3 linked regions of the Callithrix jacchus genome follow. The protein of the gene in region 3 purifies or fractionates together with the protein of the main gene of each other region. This does not show direct contact. Links are inferred from orthologs where the notes say so. Each region holds a gene or a part of one and is shown on either strand. Other genes may lie near its edges.

Region 1 (4,244 bases), on a different chromosome or scaffold from region 3:
GGAAATGGCTCGCAAGATCAACTTCCTGATGCGAAAGAATCGGGCAGATCCGTGGCAGGACTGCTGAGGCCTGTGGATGGGACACCCAGTGTGAAACCCTCATCCAGTTTTGTCTCCAACTCTTTTCTTTGTACAATCCCATTTCCTGTTACCATTCTCTATAATAAACTCAGTGACATGTTTAAAAAAAAAAATGTGTGCTACCAAAGCAAGTACTCAAATTTGATATTCTGAATGTGTTAAAGTTTGCTACTTTATTTGATAATGAAGCTTAGGACAATTTCTAAAAATATACAACTAGTAACATATTATTTTTACCATCTACATTAGGAGAGAGCAATACAAGAAAAACAAACGTAAGTATCCAATAATGAGGCCTGCTTTGTCAGCTGAGTTGGCTGGAATCATACCGGATTTTATGGTATAAACTACTGCTATGTATAAATACATATATGTATATAAATGTGCACATACCATCGGTATATACTTGCTTATATAGATATATATATATATTTGTGTGGGGGGGTGTGAACTTTAAAACTTCTTTTCAATTATAAAACAATACTAGAGGCCAGGTGCGGTGGCTCACACCTGTAATCCCAGCACTTTGGGAGGCCAAGGCAGATGAATCACAAGGTCAGGAGTTCAAGACCAGCCTGGACAAATGGTGAAACCCCGTCTCTACTAAATATACAAAAATTAGCCAGGCATGGTGGCATGCGCCTGTAATCCCAACTACTCAGGAGGCTGAGGCAGAGAACTGCTTAAACCTGGGAGGTGGAGGTTGAAGTGAGTTAAGATCATGCCACTGCACTCCAGCCTGGGCGACAGAATGAGACTCCATCTCAAAAAAAAAAAAAAAAAATCAATACTAGTTTATAACAAACTCAAACAGTACATTAGGTCATGTGAACTACTGCAAAGCAAAAAGTCTTCTACCTCTCTTCTTCCTCATAACTACTGTTAACCTTTTTATTGTGTATCCTTCAAGAAACTAAGCAAATGCAAGTATACACACGTACCTACCTGTGAAGGTGTGTGTATAAAAATCAGACAGATGCCACTTCTTGAATGTGGGGGTGGGGAGAAATCTCAAGTACTCCATACGCATGTTAAATACGTTGAAATACATAGAAAAGTGGTGGCAGAGTCACTGGTACAAAGTATTATACTCTTCAGAAATGAGTGTTGAATTGAATACATTTAATTTTTATGCCTGGAGGCGATATGGAGCAATTGCGCAGAAAGAGTGGTGGGCAAGAAGCCAGATAACACGGGTTCTAATCTAACTAGTTGGATAGCCTTAAGCAAGCCACAAAATCTTCCTAAGCAGTTGTTTCTGCTCTTGTAAAAGGACGGGGTTTGACTACGATCCCTTCCAACTCTAAAATGTTTTAATTCTAAGATGGCCGTCTGTAACATTGTTCTCTTGCGCTGGCTGTAATAAATATTATGGGGGAAAAAGATAACAAGAAAGAAACGCTACTGCAACCTCCAGTCTTCCAAGAGTAAATTTCTGTGAGTCATCAAACTATCAAAGTATAGTTGTGACAGAACTATCGACATAATTATATTTGAAAGCAAAGTAGTAGATTATTAAAATCTGAAAGTTTTTTTTTAAACAAAGCTTTGATTGACTTTTTCCTTTTTTGGAGGTGGAGAGGGCTACTGCTTAGTTTGAAAGAAACACTTCCCTCCCCGAAAAGAAAACAATTTAAGTGTTAGGGAGTTAAAATGATGAAACGAAGTCAAACTGACATTTTGTTTTACAGAACATGCTGGAAAGGTGACTGGGAAAGCAGAGTGGAAAGAATCACTAGCTAATTTCCTCTTCCGGAAGCTCTTTGGCCCTCATTCTTTCGGTTTCTTACGCCCCCTCCAGACACACTCCACCCTGCTCCACACAAGCCACAGGTATCACATGGGGAGGAAATCCCTTTGATCATATTTAAAAAGTTTTCTGCCTCAATTTACCTTAGGTGTCACAGGGTTTAGGAAGGCAGTACGCGGGCCTGAGGTCACCCACCCACCCACGCCTTCCGTCGACAGTCCGGGGAACCCGGGCAAGCAGCCCAGGCCGGGCCACCCATGCCGGGCAGGCGCGGCCTTCCCGCCCTCCCCAGCAGCGCCGGCCCGAGGGGAGTGGAGGGGAAAAGAGAGGGGAGGGAAGGAGAGGAGTAGAAGGGAAAGCGGGGGAGGGGAAAGCCTACACAGCTGTACCCACCGCGCCAGGACAGCCGGCCCCAACTGCCCGCAGCGATCGGCTCGGTCCAAGGGGAGGGTCCCGGAGGGGGCGCGGCCCAAGCCCCAATCTGGAAAAGCCAACTCTGCTCTGCGGCCTGGCCCCAGCCTAGGTGAAGGAAACGGAAGTCCCTTCGTCTCCCTCACGCGCCTCCACTGGCCGGCCCATCCCCTGGAGACACCCGTAGTCGCGAAACCCGAAGTGCGTCCACGTCAGGGCCTCAAAAAGATACTGGGCGCGGTCCGTCAGTCTCCCGGCCCGGGCAGTGTCCTTCCCACCCCCGGCCGGGAGGTCAGCCTCCTGCCCTGCAAAGCCCCTCCTTCTTCCCCCCCTCCGCCATTTTCCAACTTACCTTTTGGGCCGGGCGTCCCTCGATGAGTGCCGCACCCGCTCCGGGCGCCGCCAAGGTCCCGCCACCTCCCCAAACCGGAAGGGGGCAGTAAGATAAAATGAGGCCCTGGTAACCCCCCACCCGCGCCCCCCCCCACCCGCGTTCCAGCTGGAACCCAGAAGCTGACCTAGCGGGCGCACATGCGCAGTGAGCACCTCGTAGTCTCCGCCCCTAGCCTCAGCGTTTCTTCTTTTAGCCTCAAGGACGGTTTTTCCCACGGTTTTTACCTGTTGGGCTCTGGGATTGAGGAATAGGGGAAGAGAGATAAAAGGACGGAAAAGAGGAGGGAGAAGGGGCAAAAATGTTGAGTTCTTACTATAGACCAGGTACTGTGTTAGGCATGTAACCTGTTCTTTGTTGTACTGTTGGCAACCCTGTAAAATAAACACTGTTTTGGGGGGTTTAATTTTACAAAAGAAACTGAGGCCCAGAGGGAATAACTATCCCAATATCCCGCGGCTAATAAACAAAGTAACTGAGATTAGAATCGGATCTGTTTCCAAGAAGGGAAGGATGAAAGGGATGACGAGAAAGGGGGACCCTGGGAGAATGGCGAGGGGTTAAGATTGGGAAGTGAATGGAAAATTAATAGAGGAAAAAGAAAGCAGATGGACAGGAAACAAAGGAAGTCTGTGAACATAAAATGCTGGTCCTACCCTGGATTTATTTCAAATGCGTTGTAAGATTGTCAGATCAACATAGGAATTTTTGTTTCAGGAACATGGAATCTTAAAGGGTAATATAGTGAGATGATGGATTCTGAATATTTCATTTCAAATGAAATCAAGTGATGCAAGATACTTATGGTCCTCCCTTCACAACTAGGGAACTTGGAGGGAGGAGAGGAAATACTTTTCTTAAAAACTCCTTAGTTTCCTGTTTATTCTCCCCTTGGGCACGCTACCCTATCTTCTAATAAATCAGAACTACTCCTTCTGCCCCGCCCATTCTCAGTTTTCCTGCCTTAGGCTAATTTGCTCCAACTACTCCCTCTGCCTTCGAGAAAAGGCTGCCGGTGGCTGGGCGTGGTGGCTCACGCCTGTAATCCCAGCAGGGGTTCGAGACCAGTCTGACCAACGAAACCCCGTCTCTACTAGAAATACAAAAATTAGCCTGGCGTGGTGGGGCACACCTGTAGTCCCAGCTACTCATGAGGCAGGAGAATCGCTTGAACCTGGGAGGCGGAGGTTGCAGTGAGCCGAGATCGCACCACTGCACTCCAGCCTGCCTGGGCAACAGATCGAGACTCGGTCTCAAAAGGAAAAAAAAAAGACTGCCTGTACACAAAGCCTTCTCTGATTTTCTTAGCTGAAGTTAATCTCTTCATGCTCTGAACTCTAGTGGCACTTCTCGAATTTTTGTTTTTGCTTTTTTTTAAGCACTGTTTTTTTCTTGTGGTAAAATATACATAACAGAATTTTCTGTTTCTACTGGGCTCAGTGGCTCACGCCTGTAATCCTAGCACTTTGGGAGGCCGAGGTGGGTGGATAACCTGAGGTCAGAAGTTCGAGACCAGCCTGACCAACATGGTGAAACCCCGTCTCTACTAAAAATACAAAAATTAGCTGGGTGAGGTGGCATGCGCCTGTAATCCCAGCTACTTGGGAGGCT
Region 2 (4,029 bases), on a different chromosome or scaffold from region 3:
AGGTTGCAGTGAGCAGAGTGCCACTGCACTCCAGACTGGGTGACAGAGCAAGACTCCCTCTCAGGGGAAAACAAACAAACAAAAAAACTTATTAAGCAGTAAAGCACAGAGTATCAGATCAATATTTAGTGCTGAACATTTTATTATAAATGATCATTTGAAACACACTCTTGTTTACAACCTCCCACTATTGTAAAACCTAACATTGATACTCTCATTTCAGGTAATGCAAAACTACAATAAGCATTAACTCTCTGTAGGCAGAAATCTATTCGAGTCATTCCTTATTACTGAAGCTCTAGAATTCATTAAACACCTAGCATAGACTTGGTATTGTATATAACATTTGCACTCATACCTTACAAAATAGTCATCTACGTAGAAAGGTGTTTAAGGCAGAAAGATGGAAAAATGTTTGCAGTCTTTTTTGGTTGGCATGAAACACTGACTGCATTCCTCCCAGGTTTATAAGAAAGAATTATTTGCAGTCTTACCTGGGGTTAGAGGGATGGACTCTCTCAAGGTTATTTTTCAATCTCTGTACATACAAACTTATGGAAGTAAGAAAGAAGGAGAAAGGCAGATCCCATGTAACAGGTGTTAAACACCTGAATTTGCTCTACTATGACAGGGTTTATCATCCACCTCTCAGTCCTGAAGTGGCTGGAAAGAAGCGAAGATTGGAGTCCAGGTGGACAGGTGAGTGTAGAACCTCTCAAGTGCGGAGCCCTCGGAATTCACCACACGCCCCAAATCGCTTCCTGCGCAGGCGCAGAGTCGGAAGCGGCTCCTAGAGCAGAACCCCCCCGCCCCCTAATAAAGCCCCCACCCGGACGCCGCTACCACCGGGATTTGGCAACTTCCGGAAGACCTGAGGACCGTAGGAGAATCCTCTCGGGAATGGGGGGTGGGGGCTGCTAACCAATCCGACACCGCCAGCAGGCCGGAGAGGGGCTTTCCCCAAAAGAAAACTTTCCCAAACCTGGGGGATGGGAAGAGAAGACAAAAGGAGTGCCTCTGGCTCTCTTTCTCACTTCCCGGCCGCCCGCCCCAGCCCCTCGGCCTCGGCCTCGGCCTCGGCTGCGCCAACCAACAGAGAATCCCGGCAGCAGACCGAGGCGAGAGCCAGGAGGGAGGGCCACAAGCGGGCGGCCCCTCTCCCCGCCTCGCTGTCCGCCGCTGACGTCGTCTGCGAAGTTTGGGGAGGGAGGAGCTCGGACGGCCGGACCGAGCGGCGGCGCGCGCCCTGGAAGGCGGGAGCTGCGAGAGAGGAAGCTCCTCCGGGGCGCTACGGCGTTGTCCCCAGTCTTCAGAAAAGAAGTCCGCTCTGGTTCGGAGAAACAGCGGCTAACGTGGGCCGCCTGGGGAATGGGAGGCCTCGTTACCTAGTGTCGCGGAGCAGTAAGGATCTTGCCGTCTTCGCTTGTGCAGGGGCGGATCTGGGCCCCCGAGCGTGGCGGGAGAGCCCTGGAAGCCGCCGGAGCAGGGGGCACACCCGGAACCGGCCTGAGCGCCCGCGACCATGAACGGGGAGGCCATCTGCAGTGCCCTGCCCACCATTCCTTACCACAAGCTCGCCGACCTGCGCTACCTGAGCCGCGGCGCCTCGGGCACTGTGTCCTCCGCCCGTCACGCAGACTGGCGCGTCCAGGTGGCCGTGAAGCACCTGCACATCCACACCCCGCTGCTCGACAGGTAGGCAGCTACTGGGGTTTCCGGGAACAGCCCCCAACTCTCCTGCACCCCTCCAAGCCCCCAAACAAACGGGCTCTAGAGCCCAAATGGCAGTGACCGCTTGGGGCCGGCCCCACCTCGTCACCTCTAGGCAACCCTTCAAGCTTGGGAGGTAGGGAGCACCGACCCTTCCAGCTCTGGCACTGTAGGGAGCACCAGCCTCTCTGGAGATGCAGCAGTCGTGTTCCTCCAGGCATCTCTCCGTTGCCTTTCCTCTCCTTCCCTCTTGCTCCTAGGCGTCCTCTCTCCATACTCCAAAAATCAGCAATCTCTGCCTAACTCTAAAAGCCGTGTTTATTGAAATTGATGTGTGTTTATATATAGTGAGGGCTGCACTGTCCAAGAGGTCGCTCTTAGCCACAGGTGGCTGTTGAGCACTTGAAATGTGCCCGTCCGAATTGAAATGTGACCTAAGTGTTACCATAGTGTGAATGCTTAGTATTTATATAAAAAAGAACTTATTTTTATAATAGTTGTTTATTGATTATATGATGAAATAATATATTTGGTATCTTGGGTTAAATATAAGATGTTGAAATTTATATCATGTTTCTTTTTACTTTATGTGGCCATGAGAAAATTTTAAATTGTATGTGGTATTCACATTATATGTTTATTGAACAGTGCTGCTTTGGAATCTGGGATGTTTTGCTTTTTATTGTTTTTGTTTTGTTTGTGGTGTGTTATGTGTATTCAGGAACGTGTAGTCAGGAGCGTTTTATGTCAGACTCAATACTAGCAGTTCCGTTTCTCCCACTCTCAGTTTCTCTAACAGGGAAGATTGTAATAGAGGAAATGTGTGCCATTTTTTGCCACAATAAATTGAACCGAAAGACTTTTAAATGGCCAAAAATTGTAGATGGCTTTCACTTATTAGTTTGTCCGGGTTTTAACGGACAGTTAATATTAGTTTCTGTTTTCAGAGAAATATTATAACCTCGTGCCACAGACCTGTGACTGTGTTAATCAATGGTCTGGATACTAGTCTTGTATATTTCCTACAGGGATTTTACTAGGCCCAGCACTCAGCTCTTAGTGAGTTAACATCCATGATTGCAACATTCTCTTCTCTTCCTATATCTAATGTGAAAATACATCATCACAGAATCCTGATGGGCCAGAAGCTGTGAGTATGCAGTATCAGATAAATTCCTCAGCTTCCGCCTTGCCAGTTACTGGATTTTCACCTACCTGTGGCTTTTCTTCATTGTCTCTCACTGTCAGGCTTGGATCGCCTAAATGGCACAGATGTGGGACACCTCTAGAGCTTGTTTCCACTTCTTGTCTGTCATAATCCAGATTAAGTGATATACAAGGTGTGGTGTCTGTTTACTCTGGGCATTACATTCTGTGGAGCAAGTGCTGGGCAAGTGTGTATGTGTGCCTGTAGTCAACTTTTAAAGGTGGTGGTTAGAGAGGACAGATGTATGTTAGAACCAGTTATGCAAATACTATATGGAAATGTAGCACTGATGAACCCATTAGGTATTGAAAAACCAATTGATCCTCCCATTTTGGGTGCTGCTTCTCAAGATTTTAATTTATCTCAACTTTGTGTGGTTTGGGGACAAAGAAGTGAAGAGGGAATTTCCTTCCCATACTCATGAACAATTTTCATAGTCTAAAATTCTTCACTGAATTGGGTAGGAAATTAATTCTGTCTTCAAGGAAGCCATAAGACCAGTGAAACACTCTGGCATTACTGTATCACATTCTTTTCTCCAATTTGTTACCTCAGATTTTATCATTGCAGTATTTATGTAGTATGAGTGTTAGACGATACTATGCAGTTGACTCACTGGTGTCTCTTTCCTCACTTACACAATAGGAATAATAAATGCATGTGTTTTTCGGACTATGGAGAACAATGTTTGCATTGTTTTTTTGGATGACCTGAAAGAAAAATAAGTTTATGCAGTGTTACATGTTCTTATTTTAATGTTTGGTGAATCAGTCTCTGTAACCTGACTTCGATGCAATGAGTGGACCTTCCCCAACAATCTTCCCACCCCTTATGAGTAATGAGTCCAATTGGTTGTTCAAATACCCTGTACATGACATAAGGTTTTATTGAATTTTTGAGTTAATTTTGGTGATGTGACTATACAAGCTGTACTTTACACCTTTATTTTCAAAATGTAAAAATCAATTTTTAAAATATTTTGGCTTTTAAAAAATTTTCCCACTCACTCAATCTTGCCAAAAATCTGTCTTCAAGAACTTTCATACTGTGATGTTCTGTGATCAAGCAACAGGGTAGAAAAAATGCAGGCTTTAAGGTCCCATGATTGTAAT
Region 3 (3,500 bases):
GAAGGGGCAGCGGGAGGGAGACTAATTACCTGGGGGGAAGGTAAGGAGAGGGCTGCCTGAGATTCTGCAACATGGAAGAATACAGCTGGCCCCTAACTCCCTTCCCCGATCCTTGCTTCTGGCCAGCGTCTTCCACTGGCTGGACCCATTAGGGAGGCCAAGCGGGCTGCTTGCTGGAGTAGTCCTCAGACATCAGCCTCCCATGAGCCAGAGACGGGTGGAGAAGCGAGAGAGTGGATGTGGCCAGGCAAGTGGAAGACAGCCAGCACCAAACTCTATTTCCCTAGGAGGGAGGATCATGACACTTGAGTGGGAATTTGGAAACCTATCTGTTGGAGCAATTTTCCTGATAGAAATAAGATTGTGCATTTTCCTGGGTAGTAGACTCATAGTTTTTACCCCAAGACACCAGGCACTCCTGGCCTGTGTGATCCTCATAGGCCAGTGCATCCCTGGAATTCTGGAATGGATCTTCCATTCTTGGTTAGGGATGTCCCTTCCCAGGATGTGCAGAAGGGCTCTGGGAAACCTGTGGGTCTGTCTCTATTTTCAGAGAAAGGTGAGGATGGCCTGGTTCTAGCTCATGGTGCTCAGACTGTGGTGTGTAAAGGCACTTGTGGAAATGCAGATTCCTGGGCCTGCCCCTAGTGATTCCCATTCAGTAGATTTGGGGTGGGGCCCAGGGCATCTATATTTTTAACAAACAACCCAGGTGATTCTGATATAAGTGGTCTCACCCTGGGAGAACTACTGGTCAGCAGCAACCAGCTTGGTTTTCCATTAGCAATTACTGTCCTTGAGCAAGTTCTGCTCTTCACCCTACACACACTAAAATTGCCAAGGCCGTAGGGTAGGGGAAGCAACCATGAGGTTGCTGTGAGTGCAGTGTGTGTGTGTGTGTGTGTGTGTGTGTGTGTGTGTGAGAGAGAGAGAGAGAGAGAGAGAGGAAGGGAGGAAGGGAGGAAGGAGGAGGGCTCTCCCACAGTGCCAACCTGTTTCTCTCCCACTTGAAGTGTTTCCATGCCAACCGAGATCCTCAGCCTCTAGGAAACCCCATATACACAGTGCCCCTGCATAGGTTTCTTTACACTCTGGCTCTTCCTGACTCCAGAGTGTTGGGTTTCAAAGTTTTTGGCTGTGACCCACAATGATTGAGAGAGAGACAGACAGACAGAGAGTGAACGAGCACACCCACCACCGTGTAAACGTGAAACCAAAGCTTCATGAAATGGCTTTGCTCTGTGAACTCTGATGCACTGTGCTCTCTTCTGTTCTGTTCAATCTGTATTTTAGAAATGCTGCTCAGGACCTCAAAATGGTTTGCATGTCCCACAGCCTGCAGTCTAAAAAATCACTGCTCTAGAGAAGTGGCCGTAAGAGGCCCTAAGGGAGAAGCTGCACCATGTCAGGGTTAGGAGTGGGGTTTGGAGCCAAGCTGCCTGGGCTCAAAGCCTTTATGTGTATCCTTGGCAAAGTCACTTCACTTGTCTGTGCCTCAGTTCCTTTCTCACGAATGCACAAAATAATGGTACCTGCTTCACTGGCTTGTCGTGAGGATGAAATAGTGTTATTATCGGGCAGTGCTAAGGATAGGGACCAGGGCTAGCGATCACGATTCTAGGTGGTTTTTACCATGCACCAGGTGCTCACAAGGCTTTATATACACAGCCTGGTGAGGCTGATAATACTGTTATCATAGATGAGGACACCAACAGATAACTAGTAAGTGGCTGATCAGATTCACAATATCCAGCTGAGGCGCTCCAGAGCCTGAGCTGTTAATATTCAGTCAGGGCCTCCCAGGTTTGCCTGAAGATAAAGAATCATGTGCACAGTTGTTAAAATATACAGATCCCTGGGCCCCACCCGACACATACTGGATCACCAGCTCCAGGATACAGGCCTGAGAATCTGTATTTTAGGGAAGCTTTCAGATGAACTTGTGATCAGGTGAGTTTTGGGAATGGTGCCCCAAGAGGAGTGGCAGGCCAGGCTTGCTGGGCAGGGACTGGCGGGTGGGAGTGTTATCACTGGGGTTAAGGACTGGGCACTAGCCACAGCCTGCCTGCCTGTTTCCAAAATTTGTGGCCGGTCTCATCCAGCTGGTCTACTGTCTGCTGGCCTAGGTGATGGTAAATTTCTCCAGGGGTAGCCTGTCTAGTTCAGGCTGTACCTTTCCCATATATCAGCTCCTTTCCACCATCGTCCCCTTTGTGAGGCTGTGATTATCATGTTCCTTTTGCAGAGATGGAAACATTGCTTCAAATTAGCTCTGTGATTTCCTTAGGATTCCGGGTGCTTTAGTGGCAGATCTGGGCCCTACGTCCTGGACCGTCTCTGTCATAGAGCACCACACCACGTCACCTCCCCCGCCAGGGACCTTGGGGTCTCCACTTTTCTGGGGTGCTCCATCTTTGCAGGGTTTCCTGGAAGCACAGATGCTGGCACTTCAGGGATGAATGAAAGTCTTTTTTGTAGATTTGTAGATTTTTTTCTTGTCTTTCCAGCTCCGTTTTCAAATGTATTTATCTTGTCTCTTTTAGTTTGCGTGATAACAATATCTCAGACCGAGGCGTCTGCAAGCTCATTGAACATGCTCTTCACTGCGAGCCATTGCAGAAGTTAGCGTAAGTCAGCCTGGGCTGTGGACATTGGGCCCTCAGTCCCCTGGTCTCACCCCCGGTCATGCAGCCTGGGTAGCTGTGAGTGATGGGCTGGGGCAGGGGCTGTTTGCATGATGGGGGGGTGCAGTTGATTCCTGCCCAGAGGGGAAGGGCAACCCTGGGATTGGGTGCTCCCTGTGCAGTGTGCTTTGCTTCTGTGTCTCCTCTCTTCTGGAAACTGAACAGTCTGTTCAATAACAAATTGACCGACGGCTGTGCACACTCCATGGCGAAGCTCCTTGCGTGCAAGCAGAACTTCTTGGCATTGAGGTGAGCCCAAGTTTTCCTTATTCCCTGGAAACTATTTTTTGCCCAACAGCTGAGTCAGTCTGGTCTGGTCTTGGCCTGGTGCTGCCCACACTGGCTGCTGACCTTCTGATTGAATGTAGGGGCAGTGTGTCATTTTGAGCAGGGGTTCTGTGTACTGCCATCATCTCCCCTGTAAACTCTGGACTAGCCCTGCTGAGGGCTTCCTGTCTTTTGACCTTTAACCCATAGGGCAAAAATGTTTTTCTAGTCCTCTTTCCTTTTCTGTGTCTAAGAGTGTCACAGCTCTCTGGGGTGACTGAGTTTCACGATGTATGTTGAGCTTGTCTCACTGGTGGAGGCATACGCAGTTACTTGCCACCCCAGCTGTGGCAGCCAGTGGCTGCAATACTCCCAGAAGGTCCTTTCACCATTCAGAGCATGCAAGGTTTGCAGTCTCATCTGGGTCTGCATTTCTGCTGCTTCAGTGTCTCCCAGTTTCAACTGGAGTCTCTCTCTCCTACCTGGCACTGTTAAATTGCCTCTCTAGCTGGCCTCTGGGTTGGGCTGGCTCTCTCTCTCTCTCTTTCC

Evidence for each region.
Region 1: the proteins of NOD2 (region 3) and XIAP purify together in Homo sapiens (affinity purification with western blotting; 3 studies listed by BioGRID and IntAct, with this or other methods). This does not show direct contact. The link is inferred for Callithrix jacchus from reciprocal best matches to the Homo sapiens genes NOD2 and XIAP.
Region 2: the proteins of NOD2 (region 3) and RIPK2 purify together in Homo sapiens (affinity purification with western blotting; 12 studies listed by BioGRID and IntAct, with this or other methods). This does not show direct contact. The link is inferred for Callithrix jacchus from reciprocal best matches to the Homo sapiens genes NOD2 and RIPK2.

Annotation. Positions count from the first base shown.
Region 1 is NC_133524.1:119,602,780-119,607,023, reverse strand, and holds the start of XIAP (E3 ubiquitin-protein ligase XIAP), read right to left. Parts: upstream 2,801-4,244; 5' UTR 2,595-2,800; intron 2,351-2,594; exon of another isoform or gene 2,225-2,350; intron 189-2,224; exon of another isoform or gene 1-188.
Region 2 is NC_133517.1:37,391,664-37,395,692, reverse strand, and holds the start of RIPK2 (receptor-interacting serine/threonine-protein kinase 2), read left to right. Parts: upstream 1-1,229; 5' UTR 1,230-1,522; coding exon 1,523-1,695; intron 1,696-4,029.
Region 3 is NC_133521.1:8,640,257-8,643,756, forward strand, and holds part of NOD2 (nucleotide-binding oligomerization domain-containing protein 2), read left to right. Parts: intron 1-2,543; coding exon 2,544-2,627; intron 2,628-2,849; coding exon 2,850-2,933; intron 2,934-3,500. UniProt on the Homo sapiens protein: Pattern recognition receptor (PRR) that detects bacterial peptidoglycan fragments and other danger signals and plays an important role in gastrointestinal immunity.